Caenorhabditis elegans: one gene and its partner. The protein of the gene in region 1 purifies or fractionates together with the protein of each later gene. This does not show direct contact. Each region holds a gene or a part of one and is shown on either strand. Other genes may lie near its edges. The genes, in order: F25E2.2 and tiar-2.

Evidence for each region.
Region 2: the proteins of F25E2.2 (region 1) and tiar-2 fractionate together in Caenorhabditis elegans (co-fractionation; one large-scale study listed by BioGRID). This does not show direct contact.

What each region holds. Positions count from the first base shown.
Region 1 is NC_003284.9:803,844-813,958, reverse strand, and holds F25E2.2 (Abnormal cell migration protein 18-like fibronectin type I domain-containing protein), read left to right. Parts: upstream 1-3,164; 5' UTR 3,165-3,235; coding exon 3,236-3,395; intron 3,396-3,443; coding exon 3,444-3,563; intron 3,564-3,662; coding exon 3,663-3,779; coding exon of another isoform or gene 3,780-3,859; exon of another isoform or gene 3,860-3,984; intron 3,985-4,012; coding exon 4,013-4,089; intron 4,090-4,383; coding exon 4,384-4,471; intron 4,472-4,521; coding exon 4,522-4,641; intron 4,642-4,690; coding exon 4,691-4,906; intron 4,907-5,354; coding exon 5,355-5,657; intron 5,658-5,982; coding exon 5,983-6,370; intron 6,371-6,535; coding exon 6,536-6,750; intron 6,751-6,804; coding exon 6,805-6,875; 3' UTR 6,876-6,968; downstream 6,969-10,115. Other genes in the region: F25E2.3 (Acyl-CoA thioesterase II), read left to right, coding at 859-885, 929-1,044, 1,301-1,355, 1,433-1,520, 1,567-1,694, 1,743-1,808, 2,113-2,317, 2,360-2,557 and 1 more; gtr-1 (G_PROTEIN_RECEP_F1_2 domain-containing protein), read right to left, coding at 9,803-9,911, 9,961-10,106.
Region 2 is NC_003280.10:12,764,961-12,776,731, forward strand, and holds tiar-2 (RRM domain-containing protein), read left to right. Parts: upstream 1-3,725; 5' UTR 3,726-3,781; coding exon 3,782-3,906; intron 3,907-3,967; coding exon 3,968-4,064; intron 4,065-4,111; coding exon 4,112-4,207; intron 4,208-4,296; coding exon 4,297-4,474; intron 4,475-5,321; coding exon 5,322-5,627; intron 5,628-6,816; coding exon 6,817-7,001; intron 7,002-7,944; coding exon 7,945-8,262; 3' UTR 8,263-9,454; downstream 9,455-11,771. Other genes in the region: cnp-2 (Calcineurin-interacting protein 2), read left to right, coding at 1-183, 231-293, 339-425, 797-841, 886-930, 982-1,056, 1,109-1,153, 1,201-1,251 and 5 more; vps-2 (Charged multivesicular body protein 2a), read right to left, coding at 2,362-2,577, 2,646-2,891, 2,946-3,125, 3,186-3,257; Y46G5A.14 (uncharacterized protein), read left to right, coding at 10,088-10,313, 10,465-10,541.

The DNA of each region.
Region 1 (10,115 bases):
TGTTCAAATGTACGGCTTGAACTTGCAAAAGTTTGAAGAATTTATTTTTCTCAATTTTCATGTTATTTATATGTTTTATGAATTAACGAATAAAATGTTTTATTTTACTTTCTATGTAACCATTAATCGGATGAAGGTGGGGTGTTCAGTTTACCAATGTAGATCAAAAATAATTCAAAAAAATTTTTTTTGGTACTCTTTCCCTTTTTGTTTCTGAAACCTGATTATGAAGAAGATGTAGGCTTGATGATGGTTGAAAAAAGTGACGTCACTGGGGCAGGGTTTTCTACACTTTTTTCGAAACGCAAAAGCCTTTTTAGTTGTTCTTTATATAGCAGCTCTGGTGTTTTTTTTTTCTAGCAGGCGTATGTGATTTGAAGTTCCTCTTTGATCACTTTGAAATGTAATAATGTACTGATAAACTGTACACGTGAGGTCTTATGTATTTTGTTTGTTTGGCCACACTATACTAGGCAACAAAATTCCAGTTTCCGCTTTTTCTGACTATAAATCATTGGTTGGCAACTCAATATGCATTTTCTGCATTTCTGAAATTATTATAAATGCAATTTCTCAAAAAAAAAAACGGTTTTTTTATATTTTTAAATTTTGAAGTTTTGAACAGTATGAATTCTGAATTTAGTAGCAAATGCATTTTAAACTGTTCAAATTATTAGATATCACTTCCTGTTCTAGTTTTTTTTCAAAGTCTCATTTAGCCTACACTGTTGCGTCGTTATTGTTTTGTTCGTCATCTCCACTCAATGATTTTCTCCCCAAACTTCTGCGTCTCTCAAAACATGTTTTCGCGTACACAGTTGAAAATTTGAACTATTATTTTCAATTTTCAGATTGATCATGGCAAAACCGAAAGCACCAACCGAGGTATGTTAGGGTTTGTTTCAATTGCAATTTGAAAGATTTTTAGGGAACTCCTTTGTGCAACGTGGAGCATATCGAGTTTGAGTCAAGAGCAAATGATATAAAAGCAGGGCTCATTGATACTTTTCTGAATCTACAGAGAATCGATACCAATCTGTACATGTAAGTGTTGGAAAAATGATGTATTTTCAAATTTTGCTCAACAACATTTTGATTGGTGCTCGGAGACAGCTCAAACATTTTTCGGAACAGTCACTACAAAAATATCCTTAAAAGTGTAAAAAGTGTTCAGGCATGTGCATTATTAATAAAGTCTTTGACTCTGCTTATAATATATTTTTGAATGATGTGACATCACACGTCGCACAATTCCTGACTCGATCATCACAAAACATGAGAACATTAGATTTTCTTGCAGCGCTCGCCACTTGTTGAAGGGTCGTCATTCCTACAATGCCGTTTATGGCGGTCAGGTAAGAAAACTCAAATTTTCAATATAAACTTCCAAATCCTATATATCAGTTCCCACCGATCATCCTCAAATATTTAGGTTGTTGGTCAATCGTTGGCGGCAGCAGCTGCCACCGTGGAAGATTGTTTCATACCTCACTCATTACATAGCTATTTCATCAAGACGGGTCAGTTGATAACAGAAGACGGCAACTGTTGTGTTGTGTGTTTCAGGGAGTGTGGACAAACCGATTCTTTACATGATCGACCGCATTCGAGACGGAAGAAGTTTTTGTACGCGAGTGGTGAAGGCTGTGCAGGATGGAGAGGCAATTTTTTCTTGCCAAATTAGTTTCCATCATGTATGCTGGGGAAATGGAACAGAGAATAAAAAAAGAGATACTTTTCAGAAAGAACCCGATGCAATTAAACATAGCTCCAAAATGCCGGAAGTAACACCTCCAGAACAATTGCTTGTAGGTTGCTTCAAAACAATCAAGTTTTTCCATGCAGGCACCAAAACGCCTGCCACGCGCTTTCTGTATAGTGCCGCGACGGAAGAACCACCTTTGGCACTATTTGGTGCAAACATGAAGCCTTTGATTGTTCGCCATGGCGTAAAAATAAGGCGAGAGGCCGGCGTGAGGCGGGCAGGTTAGAGGCAGGCGTCACGTCCTGAAAACAGGCCCACCTCCCATGGAAGCTTGAAATATAACTAAAAAATATAATAACATTACACTGCAATTCTAGGTTTACTTTCCATTATTATATATTTTCCAGCCAGCTCGAGAAGCAGCGCTGGAAGTGCTCCGCACGAAAGAAGTCGATGAAGTCACCGCTGGTGTCATCCAACATTTTTTGAAAGAAATTCCAGATGCTTTTGAGCGAGTTTTTGATGTTCGCCCGGTCAACCCAGCCAAGTACTTGCTTAAAGAAGATACTGAGCCAATGTCGATGATTTGGATTCGAGCAAGAGAGAATTTGGGTTAGAAGTTCAAAATAATTCGTTTTCAATACTATGATTCAGGAGATGATCACCGTCTCCATCAGTGCGTCGCTGCTTACCTCACCGACTTGAGCATGCTCACCACGGCAGTACGACCTCATATCAGAAACGGATTCATCCCTTCAATGTCTTTTTCCCTGGATCATTGTATTTGGATGCATGAAAATGAGTTTCGAATCGATGATTGGATGCTGTATGAGACAATTAGCTCAAAAGCTGGTATAAAATTCTGTAAAATATTTTTTAAGAAATGGCGTTAAATTCTAGGTGGAAGTCGTGCATTTATTGAAGGCCGTTTATGGTCTCGTGATGGTCGACTTATCATTTCGACTGCTCAAGAAGCACTTGTCAGAGCTCCAAAAGTTTGACAATATTTGAATATTTTGTTTGGTTGTGTATATATATTCAATTTTGATAACTATAAAATGAATAAATGTTTAGAATTTTGAAAAGTAAGTACCAAGTTACTTAACAATAAATTAGTACCATCACCAGAAAGCCTGCATCTAAGATTCGAAGCTTTCAAGAAATCCGCGTTAGCGTAGTAAAACAATTTAGGAAAAAAAATACTAGCAGAAAACTGTTTCCCTAGTTTGAGAAGTTTCAGGACTGTGGTCTCGTTATGGTCTATTTATTGTCATTAAAAAATAAACATTTGTCATATAATTGAGCTCTATGAGCTCCCCATTTTGTTTTTTTAAATAAAGCCCGATCAATAATAAATGTACCAGAGATGTATTTGATACTCGCAGAGACATGTCCGATCGGTTGATAAATCGTTCTCCCTAAATTCCCCCACATCTCTGTTCCCCTCATGTTTTTTTGCATTCTTTACTGCACTTTTTGACATCCCTCACCCATCCCAGCTCCCCAAATTTTCATTCCTGTCTTTTCGACATGAACATCGTTACTTTCCTACTTTTCGGAATATTTCCACTTTCAGCTGCAATTTCTCCAATTAACCTGGAGAATTGTAATCCGGGAAGTTATTTTGTGGAAAACTATATCAAGTACCAATGCTATCAAAGTGGAAGTGTAAAGGGTTACAATATTGCTGGTGGGTTTTGAATTAGAAAATTAAAAAGAAAAAAAAATAAATTTTTAGGATGCCAACCATCGAATGATCTCACCGGTGTCACTTTGCAACAGTGGGAGACCCACAACGAAAAATGGTTCAAGTATCACTGTGTAATTGATGGAACTAATGCTCAGTACTCTGTGAAGAGTAAGTCAGGAGATTTTTGTTTGTTAGTCATGTACCCCTGTTTAAAATTTTGGCTAACTGGTAATCTAATACACAAAACGCAGTTACATAACTTTGCAGCCTGCCTCGACCCCGTAGGAGAAGTTCTACCAGTCGGAAAAACCCGCTCGTTCCCAGATGGAGAAACATTTACATGCTTCATAGAACGCAACAAGGTCAAGCTGAATCACCAAACAAGTGAGCAATACATGATTTATCATGCGATTGTGCCAGCTAACTATGTCATCGTTCGACCAAATGGTGATGTTGAAATCTAATGCATCCATCTGTTGTAATTTTTCAATTATTCCCATTGTATGATCCCTAATAATCTTTTTTATCACTACATATATGGCAAACTTTTGTAATTGTTTAATTTTTAACAATGAAGATGAATTATCAGATTTGTAAAATTGTTCTCAACATTTCAGCTGCTGGATGTCAAGTCGGCGATCAAGTTTATGGAGATAGAGCTACATGGATTGATAGACGAGAAGATGTTATCATTGTGAGTGAATGTCAAAAATCTATTTAGTTGTATTTCTTCTAACAGTTTCAAATTATGTTTTTTAGCGCATATGTTGATTCAATGTTTTGATATGCGTAAGTGAATACTAAGGATAGGTAAAGATGTAAACAACCGGTACAAAATATTTGGTAGTAACACTTTGGGGTAGATTCAAAGACAATTGGCGTGTAAGCTATTAACTTTGATCAACTGGATTTTGGATCAAACGTGATTCAAGTTCTTCATAATTTTTTTTGCAAATTTGATCCAGTTTCCAAATTCCATTTAACTCAGATTGGCTCAGAGAACAAAGTTGTTGGAAAGGGATCTACCATGCAATGCAAAAAATCGGAAAATGGCTCATTTGTTGTAGAAGTTGCAGGTTGCACTTAAAAAGATACGTATTAACCAACTTTACAACTTTAATTCCAGCCTGCTTAACTGCAGAGAACACATACATTCGACCAGAAGATTTCGGAACTGTAGACGATGCAGTTGTCAAATGTGCAATGGTTGAGGGGAAGTGTGTGCTGAGAAAAGCTGAAGTCACTGGTAAATCGTAAATGAAAATTTACAACTTTTGTTACGGTTTTTCTATTAGAACTCGGATGCAGACACAATGGAAAAGTATACAGGCACAATGAGGAATGGAACTCGGAAGATGGTGCCACGGTTTATGCATGCCAATTCGGGAAAGTGGAGAAAGAAGGATGCCTTGTTGGAAATTACCTTATTCCATTGTATGCAATTCGCTACGTTGATGGAAACGCTTTTTATTGTTTTCAAGGAACACAAGTTCGATCATTCGGAGATTTGAGTGAGTTTGCATAACATATTTAGTAGGGTATTCGGGTTATCGCACAAGAAAAAAACATAAATTATGTTGTAAGGTGACATATTAATGTGCATAGTCATAAGGAAATTAATAAAAAAAATACCAATGAGCTACCGACCGTTTTGTGGCTAGGCATAGAGGCTAAAATGCTACACACAAGAACTCACCCTACACTGCACAAGCGGGGTAGACATATCACATAGAACAGACTATATACAGGTTGGAACTCGATAATGATTTTATGTCGGTAATCACTTTAAAACGTGGTTATTTTCTGTATTTTTATTTCAATACAAATACATTTCGCTTTATACGACGTTGGTTTTATGAATCTAACTATATTGAAAAATAGGAAATTTCATTAAAAGAATCTACCGAGTTATTGAAAATGATTGGTAATAATTATAAAACCAAAATCTTTAACTTTGAGAGGGCTGCACAACAACATCCGGCGATATCATCCAATTTGAAAATCGTGCTAGAAACGGAGACCGCCTGGAATCCTGTGGGTTTAGCATTAATCGAGATGGAACTGTCGAGTTTAAGTGGACACAAGTCGGGTGTATTTATTCAAAGGAAATGATAACGGTAAATGCAATTCAACAATTTGGAGACCAATACGTGCATTGTGCTTTGAATGGAACTGCTGGGTATATCGTAAAAATGATGACAAGAGAAGAAGTGGAGAAGTGGTTGACAGCGACTAAACAGCAGTGGAGCAATATTGTTTCAGGTATTTTATGAGATGAAATTGTTATTTTAGAGCCAGAAAAAAGTTTAGAATTTATAATTGATTGGTGTCCGAATTTTGGAAGTTTTCACTGTAGATCCAAAATAAATTTTTTTGGAAAAAAGTGACATAGCTTACCTGATTCTAATGAGTTTTTTCAGTGGGATTATTTTTGGTCTAACATGTACTACTCTTAATCTCGGACATCGATAGTGTTTTTTGGTAGAGCAGTGTAAGTGTCCCTTGTAAAGTTTTTGAAAAAAAAAACATTATTCATTCATGCGCACAAAAATGATTATCAAAAAAACTTCCACCGGCAAATATTCAGGGAAAGATGGAAAGGGAAATTCTGTAAAACGAGAAGTTCCAACAACACCTCTACCTACAACTACCACCACTACTACCACAACTCCTAAGCCAACAACCACTACAACAACCACTACAACTCCAGCACCAACTACTACTCAAAAACCAACTACTACCACAACTACCCCAGCCCCAACTACAACCAGCACTACTTCAATTCCAACTACCATTGCAACGACAACTGCTGCTCCTTTGAAGAAGTGCACCGATTTTGTGGAAGATTGTGACAAGTTAAGAATCTATTGCCATACGGAGGCAGAAAATGCAAAGTTTTTGAAAGAAGCAGTGAAGAAGTTCTCGACGAATCCGAAAAATAGATCGAGAATGTTGGAATTCATAGATCATGTTTTGTAAGTTCTTTCAACAAAAAACTGTTAACAATAGCATTTCCAATTTGGTTTTGGTAAGAAAAGGAAGTAGTCAAAATTTTTTGTAATTAACCGTTTTGCAAAAGAATAACATCCGATCAAAAACGATTTGAATTTTTTTTTCAAGATAAATTTAAATAATTTCAGCTTGGAAGAACAAGAACCTGCACACCAGAAAGAACAAAACAAAGAACAGGATTGCCCAATAAACTCGAAATCTTGTGAAAAGTGCTCTCACTCCAAGTGTGAAAAATGTGCAAAACACCCTCATCACCATTGTAAATGTGAAGATCAGAAAGAGTTTAATAGAAAAATTGTGAGAGCGTTGTGCCCAAAAACGTGCGATATTTGCAACGAAACACGTAAGTTTATTTTTATTCAAAATCAAATTTAATTAAAATATGATCATTTTCCAGATCCATCGGTTTCAACGATTTTGTCAACTAGAATTTCTGGAGCTTGCCTGAAACCACAGTGTGAAATTTAATTTAATCTTTGATGTGGGATGTTTTGTAGACTTTAATTTAAAGTAATGGATCATAAATAGTTTTTTTTTCGCATAAAAATTTTGCAAAATATTTTTTAATACCTTGAAGCTGTACAGTTTAAGCCAAGAAAAAAAGTTCAAAATGTTTTATTTTACAACTGAAGTGAGTGTACGTTTGTGATGAAAAAATATAATTCCTTTTTTTTCAAATCTAAAAATTATAATTTCTCTTTCTAGAAATTTTAATACACAAATCTAATCTGCCACGGCTGTGTTCCTAATGACCCCTGTACTATTTCTCATAATTCAGCTGCGTATTTTTTTTTCCCTGCGCGTATCGGTTTAACGAAACAATTAGCTTGCGATCGGATGAGACCACACAAGAGACGCAGCAACAAACACCCCTGCGCGATAATCGCACAGGGAGAATAAAAGCGGAATGCGAAGAGGGAATTGGCAGGGGAAAATAATAGTTGCATTAAAACAGTAGCTACTTCATTTGTAATTTATACAAGAAGTAAAATATTTTTTAAAATACTATTTGAATACAAAACAATTAAGATACGACCAAGATATGTATTACTCAGAAAATAAAACATTTCAAAACTGTTTTCAGGCATTGGGTGTTTGCTAAATTAAAATAACTATTATAGAAAAAATATGATCGCACAAAAATAAACAACGACGCAACGACACAAGTTTGATGTGATATTCACTTTTTCTTTATAAAGAAGAATACGATTCTTTCTACCCATACGACTCTAGATACCAATGTGAATTGCCGTAAAACTTATTTACCGGATTTTGTTAACAAAACAGGAAGTTTTTCCTAATGTAAACAATAAAAAACAAATTTTAAACTATTTAACAAGGACACGGAAACAAGGTTTTTTTCCTTATTTTTTCCTCTTCTCATTTTTTATTCAGTGATTATCTTTCCGGTCCCCAATCAGTCAGAGAACTAACTATCAATCTTCGACTATTATCCAACTGTTCCACAAACCTCCAATACTTTTGAAAAACAATTGGTACGGGTCGGATCTTTTTGCTCGATCATGATTGGTTCAATGTAACCATGGAGGAAATGACCCAACAGTTTACTATGTCATGAGTGTTCCAGTAAGAAGATTTTACCAAGAATTTGAACAGTTTGGGTAATTGGAAAGTGTCTTCGGGAATCTTTATACCTCCGATTTTTTTGAATATGTTTATATTCTGAGTCGGATCTTCTTGATCGATTGTGGGCTTTGTGGTCCGGTTTATTGAAGATAAGAACAGCCGTTATGGGAATTCAATTTAATATTGTTGTGTATTTGTTATAATCACAGATCATATATCTCATCCTGATCGCCAGTTGTTATGATCACAGATCATATATTTATTGAAAAAATAGTTAGAAACAATAGAGCAATAAGGGCTAAAGGCAAGGTAGGGAGATAAGGGTAAAACAGTCTCTTAGGCCAGTAGAAGAGTGTAGAAATGAACGAGTCATCTCCTTTTATAGGGGTGAACGGGAAAGGGGGAAAGACGCGGGAAAGTGGGAAAGTGCATACTACAAAGACACGAGGGCAGATCAATAAAGGTAGATCAAAATAATATTTATACGACGGTCGTCGTAACAGTATTGCATCATGGAACATGGTTTTTTGTTTCTGTTGTGTTATTTTTTTGCCACTCACGTTTAGTAGGATTTTTTATTTCGATTTTTTTGTTTGATTTAAAAATAGAGAAACAAATAAAAAATTAACTAGGGAATGGCCAAAACCCAGAGTGGCCATTTGGCTCGAGACGTATGTCATTCGAAAGCTGAGGTTGTCAGGAGTAAGAATACCATTTCAGTTTTTGCCAAATGGCCACTCTGGGTTTTGGCCATTCACTGGTAAGCAGGACAGGTCTGACTAACAATTTATTTTTATAAAATTCTCGTTTCAAAATTAGAGATGTTTTTTAAAAAAGAGACCTTAGTCTTAAAAAACCTTCATGAAACTCTTCAAAGATTCTTAAATTCTTTAAAATTTCCTGTCACATTTTTGGCAAAATGCTTCTAGGAAAAACTTGTTTTTTAAAATAAGAATTGTTGCAGGTTTGAAGTCCATTTAAGTATAAACAATAAGAATATTATGAGAATATAAATTTCGTAGACAAGACTTTTTGTTGACTTTCACATGAGTAACAGTTTGTCTGTATTTTTTGAAATGTTAAGCTTTTCACAATGATGTTTAGTCCAGTTAGCAACCATGGAAATAAATTTCAAACTGGGAAAGCAAAAACTGGGTCCTGAAAAACCAAAAACAGCATTGATAACACGTGAAAATTTGGCAACTTATTCTTACGCACAAGTCAGAAAATTTTTAGATTTATCTACAAAACTTTTCAATATCTTTAAACCACTATAAAGTATTTGAAATTTTTTAAAGAATTATTACGATGTTTGGTTTTTTTTAGAAATTTTGAGTTTTTAAAGTCAATGACCAAAAATAATTTTGCCAAATTATAAAAATTACCCTACTGTACTAAAATTTTGTGGCGAAATTTGAATACACATCTCATACACGCGAACCGCAATTTTTATGTGTATTCTCTTCTGAAATCAGCATGTTTTAGTCAGATTAAATCAACAAAATACTAATTTATAATCGGATTTTTTAAATGATGAATTGAATTAGTTTCTTTGAAAGTTCAAATACCAAATCTCATTGACCAGTGTTTGCAAGTTTCTCAACAGACGTTCAAAGATGATAAGGATATCAAGTTTCAGGGCCGACGTTTTTTTTCTAAATAAGATATCAGCTGATTGTTCAATTTTTCCGAAAATTTTACGAACAGAATATTTATTAAAATAACCGTGAATTGAATGAAAATGAGATCTTTAGATTTACAAAAGTGATAAAATTAAACACAGCAAAAAAGGGGAAAAGTTGGTAAATTCAAAGCCTAGTTTCGAAAGCTTCTTTTTCCTCTGTGTATAGAGCATCTGTATTTTTAGGCTTCCAAATCCGTTTACCCATGGTAGATGCACAAGTGAGACAGTTTTTCCTGTAATATGAAGTTTATAATAAAACTGTTTCAGACCATACAAATTCACCTATATTGCTTAATGACTATAATTGTAATCACCGCGTCTAGAAATGGGCTTAACGCAAGCCAGAGTTGTGTTGTTATAATCACATGGCCGTTGGTTATTGGCTCCGAGAGTAGTAGCACTGAACTCAGTGTCAGAAAAGCGGGAACCTGTAAGAG
Region 2 (11,771 bases), on another chromosome or scaffold:
TACAGTGAGCACAGAGCGTCCAATTCCGATCCACGTAGTGGAGGAGACGTCATCAATCGATATGGATGTCGTTTTTCCAAAAATGCCACATCATCAAACCGTGACAAACGTCAGAGTTCCTTCGAGCAGAGGATCAGCAATATCCAGAGCTCACAGTGAGCATCGCAGGTCGATTGACAGGAGGTAAAAAGTGATATGTAGCACATTTTTAATCATAATTTTTTTTGCAGCGAACCACGTCACCACCATCGTCATCATGTTCATTCCGAGACCCCTGAACTTCCATATACTAGGTGACAAAATATCTGGGCACACATTTGTATAGAAAGACTTTTCAGAGGGATCTCCAAGACTCCGAGTGTTCGAGAATACAATGTGAAGCGGGAAGGTCAGAGATCGCCAAGCAGGTCTCATAGATCTGAAAGGTACGGTCGATCCGTTCTTAGCTTCGGTTTCTGCTTAGGCGTAGGCCTCGGTTTAGGCTTAGGCTTAGGATAAGGCTCAGGCTTAGTCTCAGGCTTAGTCTTAGGCTTTGGCATAGGCTTGGGCTTGGGCTTAGGATGAGGCTTAGGTTTTGGTTTTGGCTTAGGCTTAGGCTTAGGCTTCGGTTTAAGCTTAGATTTAGGCTCTGGCTCAGGCTTAACATAAACTTTCGATTAGTATACTTTTTGTTGATGCCATCCACCAAGTATTTACGGGGTTCCCTAGTTAGAGTTAGGCTCACGCTTAGGCACAGGCTTAGGATTAGGCCTAGGCGAGCTACTAGTTCATACAATTTCTCGGTTTTTTTTTGCAGAAGCCCATCAGAGGTCCGTATCCCGGTGACAACTACACATACTCGGTAGGCTTTGAGAAATTTCTAAAAATTAAAAAAAAAATTTTCAGCCCGATTGCAAAACGCCAAAGCCCGGAGGAGCTGGATTATGGAAGGTGATTGAAACTGCCGAGCTCAGTTGCTGATAAAATTATCGAAAATTCCAGATTCGCGGATAAAAGTCAGCAGAACCGATTTCCGGGGGATCATCAGGCTAGGGAGGAGGACTTACCGTATACCAGGTAATTTTTTTTTAACTCGGGGAGCTTTCGGCAAACCTCGATAATTTTTCAGGGGAATTTCCAAGACTCCTAGCAATCAGGATTCCAGGTCGGAGAGGTAGGGTAGATTTCCAAAAATTTAAAAAAAAAACCAAATTTTTCTAGAACTCCGTGCTCGGATATTCACATTCCTTACAATAACCCTGAAAAAGAGAGGTACAGTAGCAAAACCTACCGTAACCCTACAGTAATCCAAATTTCAGAGCCTATCAGCAATCCGAGCGGTCGTCTTATAGATCCCACAAATCGGTGACCCCATCAGAAAAGTCGTAAGTTTTTTTTTATACAGTAGTCCTATAGTAGTAAATCCAGGTTACCCCGCAATTCGGAGACCCCCGAGCTACATTACACCCGAGGAATCTCAAAAACGCCAAGCGACAGGGTGGAGAAGTCAAGGTACCTATCACGTGGTGTCAGTACCCCACATACCCCATCTGAAGTGCACATTCCATACAATAATCCAGAGAAAGAACGGTAAATTATACCTGAAAATTGAAGTTTTATCGATTTTTTTGCAGAGCCTACCAACAATCGCACCGCCCGTCTTCGCCAAAGAGACGCCCGTCTGGAAGGTGAGAAAATCGATATTTTTCGATGAATTAATCGATAATTTCAAAGAAAAATCGATATTTTCTAAAATTTTTCTGATTCCGGCCACGGGGTTCTGGCCTTCCTCATTGAATTTTTCGCGCTCTATTGACAATCATTTAGTTTTAAAACTAAAATCGAGCCGCGACGCAACACGCAACGCGCCGTAAATCTACCCCAGATATGCCCCAGCCAAATTGGCCTAGTTCGGAAAACTCTTCCATTTCAATTTATGAGGGAAGCTAGAAATCCCATTAATTCCGGAGAAAAATTCTTCCGAAAAATCGATAATTTTCCCATTTTCAGAACAAATTCCCCCAACAAGTCCAGCAGCAGCTCCAAGGTACAGTAACCACCCCCCCCTCAAACTATCGATTTTCCAACAAAATTTGTTTTCCAGGCGAGACCATCGGCGGCTCCACTCGAAGAAATAGTGCATATCAAGGAGAGATACGAGAGAGACGAGACGATTCGCCGATTCTTCCCAACTACGACTGCAGTGTAGACTATCTTAAAATTATTTTTCTCGAATTAAAAAAAAATTGATTCCCATGCTGTGCTTTCTCGACAATAAATTGCTTGCCATACATTTTTTTTGTGGATTTTTCGGCGAAAAATTGAGGAAAAAATCGAATAAATACACATAAATTTACAAGAAATGAAAAATCAGAAACAGAATCATTCTCTTCTAAGCTGATCAAGACGGGCCTGAAGATCATCGTCAACATCATTTCCACCACCGGCTCCACCGGCTCCATGATGAGCTCCACCGCTACCTCCAGCTGCAACAGCTTGGCGACCGCCGATCCGTTCTCCACCAGCATTGAGTCCACCGGCCGCCGACGGGAGCCCGGCCATTTCTTCGCCCATTTGTATGCCTAACTCGTCGAGAACCTGAGAAAAAAAAACATTTATATGATGAGTTTTTTAAGCCAAAATTCGCGTTTTTCTCGCTTTTTTACCTGATTAACGATCTGATCGGTCTCCTCCTCATCGCCGGCGTCTCCAAGAGCATCATCGATCGCGTCGCCCATCACCTCCTCCTTCATATCCATGATTTCGCTCTGTTTCTCGAATTCCATCATAATTTTCTGGATTTGTGGAAGATTCAGCTGCCGATTCATCGATTGCATCGCTTTTGTCACTCCTTTCATCGCCGACGCCATCGCATCTTGCGATTTCAGGGTTTGAACTTTCAGGGAGACCGCCTGAAGAGATTTAGAGATTTTTGTTTTATTTTAATTCAATTTCCGTGATTTTACCTGAATATTTGCCTTCATAACGATAAATTTCTTGATATAACGACGAGTTCGCACCAGATCCTTGGCCATCACTTTTACAGAGTCCATTTGATTCTTCTTTGCCATATTCTTGATATCCGCGATAACCTTCTTCTCCTGAGCCTCCATACGAGCTCTCTCGCGGTCCAGCTCTCGGATGGCCTGAAAGTTTGAATTTTTCATGATTTTCAGTTCATTTTCTCAGTTTTTTCAATAATTTACCTTGTTCAGAGCCCTCTGATTCTGTCGAAGAAGCTCGGCTGGCGTCTTGCGGCGTCCGAACAGGAAATCCATCTGAAAAGTGGAATATTTCGTAACAGCCGATAAAATATTGATTTCTGGGTGAGAAATGAGAGAAAAATAGAGTTCCAGAGCGGGAAAATTTTCTAAAAGCACTAAATAACAATAAAAATCAAAATAATTCATTGAAAATTGATTAGAAATTGTTCTTAAAATGAGGAAATCAATGCAAATATAAGGGTATGCAAGTGCGCTCCACCGGACAACTGATGATTAATCATGATTCATCGATTTTAAGTGAATTTATATCGGAAATTGTGATAAGAAATTTCGCAATTTTTATTGAAAAATGATAGTAATGGCTAAAACTTTATTAAATAAATAAAAATAACTAAATTTAAGATTAAAAAGTTGAAAAGAAAGGGAAAAAATAGATTTTTAAAAAACAAGTTTTTTTGAAACATTGCAAGCGCGCTCTACGGCACAATTTGAATTTATTTATTTAATTTTTGGTTTTTATTTGTTTTTACCGGATTTTTATCGAGTTTTTCGCGTTTTTCAGCAAAGTTTTGTAAAAAATGGCCACTTCGTTCTACACGGGAGGTGGCGAAGACGGAGACGGCTTCAATCCCCGTGTGCACGCGAGAATCGCCGAACGAGAGGGTTTTCAGCTGGCTTCTGGCTCCGAGGACCCGAGAACTTTGTAGGATTTTTTTTTCGCAAGAAGATTAAAAAATATAATAAAAAACCCGCGATGCTTGCAGATTCGTTGCAAATCTGGATCCGGCGATAACCGACGAGTTTCTCGCGACGCTTTTCAATCAAATTGGCGCCGTTATGAAGGCAAAAATTATTTTTGAAGTGATTTTTCATCGAAATTCCGGGTCTTAAACAGATAAATATTGCAGGGACTCAACGATCCGTACGCTTTCGTGGAGTTTTCCGATCATAATCAGGCTACGCTGGCTTTACAGAGCCACAACGGGCGGGAGCTGCTGGAAAAAGTGAAATTTTTGGCTTAAAAATCCCGGGAAAATCCGGGAAAATCTGAAAATTAAACTAATTGCAACAGAATTTCAAAAAAATGTTTCAGGAAATGCACGTAACGTGGGCATTCGAGCCCCGCGAGCCGGGCGAAAACCGCTCAAAACCCGAAACTTCTCGACATTTTCACGTTTTCGTCGGCGATTTGTGCTCCGAAATTGATTCGACAAAGCTCCGTGAAGCTTTTGTTAAGTTCGGAGAAGTTTCTGAGGCGAAAATTATTCGCGGTAATTTTTTTTAATTTGAAAAAAAAATTGAAAATTCTGGAAAAATCAATATTTTTCGACTAATTTGATTATAGAAAATTACGGAAAAAACATTTTAAAAGAAAATTGGTTCGACAAATTGCCGGAATTGAAATTTCCGGCAAATCGGCATATTGCCGGAATTGAAAACTTCTGGAAAATCGGCAAATTGCTGGAATTCTAAATTTCCGGCAAACCGACAATTTGCCGGAATTGAAAACTTCTGGAAAATAGGCAAATCGGCAAGTTGCTGGAATTCAAAATTTCCGGCAAACCGGCAAATTGTCGGAATTGAAAACTTCTGGCAAATTGCCGGAATTGAAAATTTCCGGCAAATTGGCAAGTTGCTGGAATTCAAAATTTCGGCAAACCGGCAATTTTCCGGAATTGAAAATTTCCGGCAAATGCAAATTGCCGGAATTGAAAATTTCTGGCAAATCCAAAAATTGCCGGAAAATAGGAAAATTGCCGGAATTCAAAAATTTTGACAAATCGGCAAATTGTTGGAATTGAAATTGCCGGAAAATAGGAAAACTGACGGAATTAAAAATTTCCGGCAATTTGCCGATTTGCCGAATTTCTCCAAATTTTAATCTCAATTTTTGAATTTTTTTGAATTTCTCTCCTTTTTAAGGAAAAACGAAAAAAAAAGTGAAAACTGTACGACCAATCAGCGTCTTCGACTCCGCCCCCCCCCCCCCCCCCCCACTCAACCCGATTGGTTGGGAAGTGGGCGGAGCAAAACGCTAATTGGTGGGCCCTATTTTTTCGTTTTTTTTCCCTTAAAATGTCTAAATTTCAACCAATTTTTAAATATTTTTTTTTGCAGATAACAATACGAACAAGGGAAAAGGCTACGGATTCGTATCATACCCCCGTCGAGAAGATGCCGAAAGAGCTATAGATGAGATGAATGGAGCATGGCTTGGCCGACGGACTATTCGAACAAACTGGGCCACCCGGAAGCCTGATGAAGATGGTGAACGTGGTGGTGATCGTGGTGATAGAAGAGGTGGAGGTGGCGGTGGAAGAGATCGTTATCATAATCAATCGGAAAAGACTTATGATGAGATTTTTAATCAAGCTGCTGCTGATAATACATCGGTTTATGTCGGAAATATTGCCAATCTTGGGGGTTCGTTTTCAGAAATTTTCAAAAAAATTTTCAAAAAAAACTTAAAATTTGCGTATTTTTTTTGTTAAAAATTACAAAAAAAAATCAAAAAAATTTAGGTAAAATTGGCAATTTTTTTAGTCGAAAAATCGGCAAATTTCAATTCCGGCAATTTTTGGATTTGCCGGAAATTTTCAATTCCGGCAATTTTCCGGTTTGCCGGAAAATTTCAATTCCGGAAATTTGCCGATTTGCCGGAAATTTTCAATTGCGGCAATTTGCCGATTTGCCGGAAATTTTCAATTCCGGCAATTTTCCGGTTTGCCGGGAATTTTCAATTCCGGAAATTTGCCGATTTGCCGGAAAATTTCAATTCCGGAAATTTGCCGATTTGCCGCAAATTTTCAATTCCGGCAATTTGCCGATTTGCCGGAAATTTTCAATTCCGGCAATTTTCCGATTTGCCGAAAGTTTTCATTTTCGGCAATTTTCCGATTCGCCGGAAATTTTCTTTTTCGGCAAATTGCCGATTTGCCGAAAATTTCAAATCCGACAATTCGCCGGTTTGCCGATTTTCTGGAAAGTCTCAATTCCGGCAATTTGTTGATTTGCCGGAAATTTTCAATTCCGGCTATTTGCCGGTTTACCGATTTGCCGGAATTAAACATTTCCGGTAATTTGCCGATTTATCGGAAATTTTCAGATCCGGCATCATGCCGGTTTGCCGGTTTGTCGGATATTTTCGTTTTTGACAAATTGCCGATTTGCCAGAAATTTTTAATTCCGGAAATTTGCCGATTTGTCGGAAGAAATCGTTTACCCCGATTCATATTTACAAAAAAAACTTTCCTAAATCGGCAAATTGCGGAATTGAAAATTTGCGTCAAATCGAAAAAATTGCCGGAATTGAAAATTTCCGGCAAATCGAAAAATTGCCGGAATCTAGGTATTCTAGAAGATCGGCAAACCGGAAAATTGCCGGAATTGAAAATTTCCGGCAAACCGGAAATCGGAAAATTGCCGGAATTGAAATTTCCGGCAAACCGGCAAATTACCGGAACTGAAAAAAATTTCGGCAAACCGGCAATTTGCCGATTTGCCGAATTTGTCGACAAAAAATTTGCCGCACTTTTGCTGCTAGAATTTCCGTCGAAAAAATTCCCCAAAAATTCACCACAAATCCTCCAAATTAATTATTTTTTTTTTGCAGAAGACGAAATTCGCCGAGCTTTTGACCGTTTCGGACCAATCAACGAAGTACGAACATTCAAAATTCAGGGATACGCATTTGTGAAATTTGAGACTAAAGAATCAGCGGCACGGGCGATTGTACAGATGAATAATGCAGATATTGGAGGACAAATTGTTCGATGCAGTTGGGGAAAAAGTGGAGATGTTCGTGGTTTTTTCGGTGAAATGAAGAAAAAAATGCCCAAAAAATCACCCAAAATGGATTAAAAAAAAAAAAAAAAAATTTCTTCAAAAATCCCGTTAAATTTTAAATTAATTTAATTTAATTTAATTTAATTAAACTTTTATTTCAGAATTTTTTAGAATGAAAATTCCAAAAAATTCAAAAAAAAATTGGATTAAAAAAATCACAAATTTACTTAATTTTTCGAAAAAAAAAATTTAAAAATTTCGAGAAAAAGCTACACACTGGAATTTAAAAAATTAACTAATAATTATTTTTAAAAAAATAAAAAATTTCTAAAAAATTATACTGGTTTCAATTTTTTAAATCAAAAATATAGCTTAGGAATTTTAGGAATTTTTTTATTACTAAAAATTCTATTTTTGCAGCTTCTTTGTAGAGTTTTTTCTCTAAAAAATTCATTTTTTACTCGAAAATCGGGAAAATTTTGAATTTTCAAGAAAAAAATGCTAAAAATTATTTAGACATTGAAAAATTCATTAAAAATTTCTGTTTAAACCTGAATTTTCAATCCAAAAAAACCACAGATTTTGACAAAAAACAACTGAAATTTCCAGCTTTCCGTTTTGCCAGAAATTTCAATTCCGGTAATTTGCCAATTTGCCGAAAATTTCAATTCCGGCAATTTACCTACTTGCCCGAAATTTCAATTCCTGCAATTTTCCGGAAATTTCAATTCCGGTAATTTGCCAATTTTCCGGAAAGCTGGAAATTTCAGTTTTTTTGTTGAAAACCGAAAAATTCAGAAAAAACTGAAATAAACCAATTTTTTTGGCAAAAATTGCTTTTTTTTTTAAGAAAAAATATTCTTAAATTTTCCTTATAAAACCCTTTTTAAAATTTGAATTTTCAAAAAAATTTTCTATTTTTTCTCAAAAAGTCACCTAATTAATTTTATTTCAGTCTGGAAAGCCATCCGAGCGAGGATCCGGCGGTGGTGGCGGCAGTGGCAACTACGGTTACGGTTACGGTAACAGCGGTGGCGGCGGCGGCAGCGGAGGACCCGGAAATTCGCAATTTTCGAATTTTAATCAACGACCCCCACCATCTGGAAATGGTGGTTCTGGAGGCGGAAGTGGAGGCCAAAATAATCAATATTGGCAGTACTATTCGCAATACTACAATAATCCACATTTGATGCAACAATGGAATAATTATTGGCAAAAGGATGGACCACCACCACCACCAGCTGCAGCAGCTTCATCTACTGGAGGAAATTGAGAGCACATTTTGTGAAAAAATTATTTTTTTTTTGCTGTTTTTGGAAATTTGGAAATTTCCAATTTTCTTAATTTTTTTGTTGCTGTTTTTGGAAATTTTGTGAATTTTTTTTCTGAAAAATTGGAGAAAATTGAGCTCATTTTATGGAAAAAATTCTTTAAAAAATCAATTTTCTGAGATAATTCGTTTCTTATTTTGTTAATTAATTAAATTTCAGCAAGATCTTTTTCCAAAAAAAAAAAAACTTGTAAAATTCCAGTTTTTCTAGAAATTTGGAGGGAACTGAGCACATTTTGTGGAAAAATAATTCTTTAAAAAATCAAATTTCTTTATTTTTACTGTTTTTGGAAGTTTTGAAAAAAAAATTCCAAAAAAACATGGTAACATTCCAGTTTTTCTGGAAAAAAATTGGACAAAATTTAGCTGATTTTTTTTTTGAATTTTTCAAATAGTTATTTAATACAAAAATAATCATTTTCCTGTTTTTCCAGCAAAAATTGAGCACATTTTGTGGAAAAAAATTCAATAAAACTTTAAAAATCATTTTTTGAGTAACATTGAAATTTCCTATTTTCTTGATTTTTTCCTGTTTTGGAAATTCTGAGCATTTTTTTCCCAAAAAAAACTGGTAAAATTCCTGTTTTTCTGAAAAAAAATGCAGAAAATTGAGCGGATTTTTGGAATTTTTTAAATAGTTATTTAATACAAAAATAATTATTTTCCTGTATTTTTTTAAGAAAACAAAATTTAATTTTTCTTAATTCAACAATTTTTTTTTTTCAATTTTTTGAATTTTTCGGAAATTTAAAATTTTTTCCAAACATCTTTTGCTTCAGTTTAACTAAATATATTGCTGAGTTCTGTGAATTTGCAATTTATGTTTTGAAAATTCCGGAATTTTTTTGTTTTGTATTTGTCCTCTCCCCAAGAAAATTGCATTTTTTAACGAATTAGAAATCCATTTTTAATTATTTTTCACCCAATTTCCCCGTTTTTTTTGTATATTTTCATCTGCCTTAATTTATTGATTTTTTTTTCTTCCCCACCCCCCTGAATTCCACGCGTTTCTATTTTTTTTTTGCAACAGAAAAATTGTCTAATATAAAAATGTCCTATGTTATTTACTTCCTGTCATTTTTTTATTGTAAAAGTTATTATTTATGAAATAAATAAATGTTCATGGAGCCGGAAAATTTCAAAAAATCACAAAAAAAAAATTTGTTTGTTTGTTTATTCGAAATTAGATAAATAGTATTTCGAATTTAAGCTCCTTAACTTAAGCTCCCCCCACTTATTGGCACAAAATCTCAAAAAAAAATTTTTTTTTTCAATCTTCTCTGCAAATTTTCCGGAAAAAATTGGGAATTAAAATCCAAGACGTGAACCTTTTTTAAAAAATATAATGTGTTTTAATGTACAAGGGGCAACAGAAAAAAAAATCGATAAAAATTAGCCAAAAATTAGTTATTTCGAACAATCTAACCGACGGCGTTATAAACCATTTTTATCAAAGTGTGAGTTAATTTAAATATATATATATATATATGTGCTGGGTGGCCGCTAGAAAAAAAACATAGGTGGCCTAGTTTTATGCTTTCCTGCCGGCGGGCATTTACAGCGCGGCCTAGCGAAACAATCGATGGCCTAGTTTTCTCAATCGTTCAAAACTCGGGCCTGCGATTGACAGACTTTTTAGAGATTTTTCGATCGAAATCTTGAGAGAAAAAGATCCTAGTTTTCAATTTTCCGGACCTGTGCGGAAAAGTCGATCTGTGAAATAATGACAATTTCCAGGATACGCTCAAACACGTGACAATTTGAAAAAATGCTTATTGAACTCCTCATATCCATCACCGTGCTCGCGTCGATTCTCGTCTCGTGCAAGAAAGAGAAGAACGAAGCGGCAAAACTGAAGCCACGTGGCTTCGATCGAAAATCCAGTGGAGCACCGGCTCCGGCTGGAGCCAACTTGGTTAACAAGTCTGGCGGTTCCGGCGGAGGTAGTGGAGGATCTGGAGATGCTAATAGACTTCTCAAAAGAGAAATCAAAGGTGGGTTCCACATCAGCCATGTTAGGGTGCGGGCCTTCGATATTTTTCGCCGATGTGTCCACCAGGATGGCACTCGATTGCAATAGTCGAATTTTGTCTGCATTCGCTCACCTCGATTTTGTCGGCTGCTTAAAAATGTTTTTTTTTGCAGAAGTAAAGATGGAGGAGCGTTCGGCTGACGATAACGAGACAATCAACGATGTAAAGTCCAACTGGGGAACTGTTTGAAATTCATGTTTTTTCTTGTAAATTGAATGAACTGTAAAAATGCTTAGACATAATTGAAAAAAAATACTAGCTATATAACGTATTTTCATGATCTGATGGCTCCGTAATAGTTTTTGTGTGTCGCGGATCCACCGCGGTAGCTGTAGCAACCACGAGAGCGCTCGCACGTGGTCGCTGGCTGTCCTTTTGCATAATTTTGAAGCAAATGCGCCTCATTGAGAATTCACGTTGGCGCCAACTCTCGCTATCCATTGGGCGTGAGAGACGCAGATACTACTTTTTTCTCTGGACGTGAAAAACGCCAAGAAAAACCGTTTTGCCGTCTGCGTCTCTTCTTTCACACGCTATTTTGGCTGTGGACGAGGAATTCTCCTCTTCCAGGATTTTCTAGGCCATTTTCTCACATTTCTCAAGTTTTCTCGTCCGCGAGAAAACGTGAATTTCGAGACAGCCAGCGAGCACGTGCGCTCGTCTACTCGGTAAATCGGCGCCACTGCTCAACCAACTTGAGCCACTTCCATTTACAAATGTGGCAAAAGTTGGCGAAAGTTGGTTGGAAAGTGGCTGATATCTAATGGCAGTTAGAAAGTGGCCAAAGTTGGTTTAAAAGTGGCGCCGAATTGCCGAGATAGTTATTATTGATCTACCCGTTTGATCTACCCGCCACTTACTCATTCGTCTTCCTTTACTATTTCGCAATCACCTTTTGTCATCATTCTCATTCTCACGCATCCACATTCACTTTCATTCACTTCTTGCACAGAGCCTACTATATAGCCGAAAGGCTACGCTCTCTCGTCCCCATCAACCAATTCGCACTATTATTCGGATTGTTTAATCCAATATTATCACGTGGTGTCAGAGTGTCTCATTTCGGCTTGATCTGCGTAGATCTACAAAAAATGCGGGAGAAGAGACGCAGAGTTCTCAACTGATTTCGCAGGGTTAAGAGCGTGCTGACGTTACAATTTTTCTGAGAAAAAAATCCCGCATTTTTTGTAGATCAAACTGTGTTAGGACTGCCGGACACCCCATGTGTCATTTCTTGTAAAAGTTCTAAAATTAAAAAAAAAAGTTCACGGAACCTGATTTTGGCGTAAAAGAAATAATGTTTTTTGGTTCAAAAAACGTGAAAATTTATGTTGGGAAAAAAGAAACAAGTCAATTATTTTGAAATTGAACGAAGTTCGAATTCCGTCATTTTGTCAGGTTGTAAGTTTTTTTTTCTGT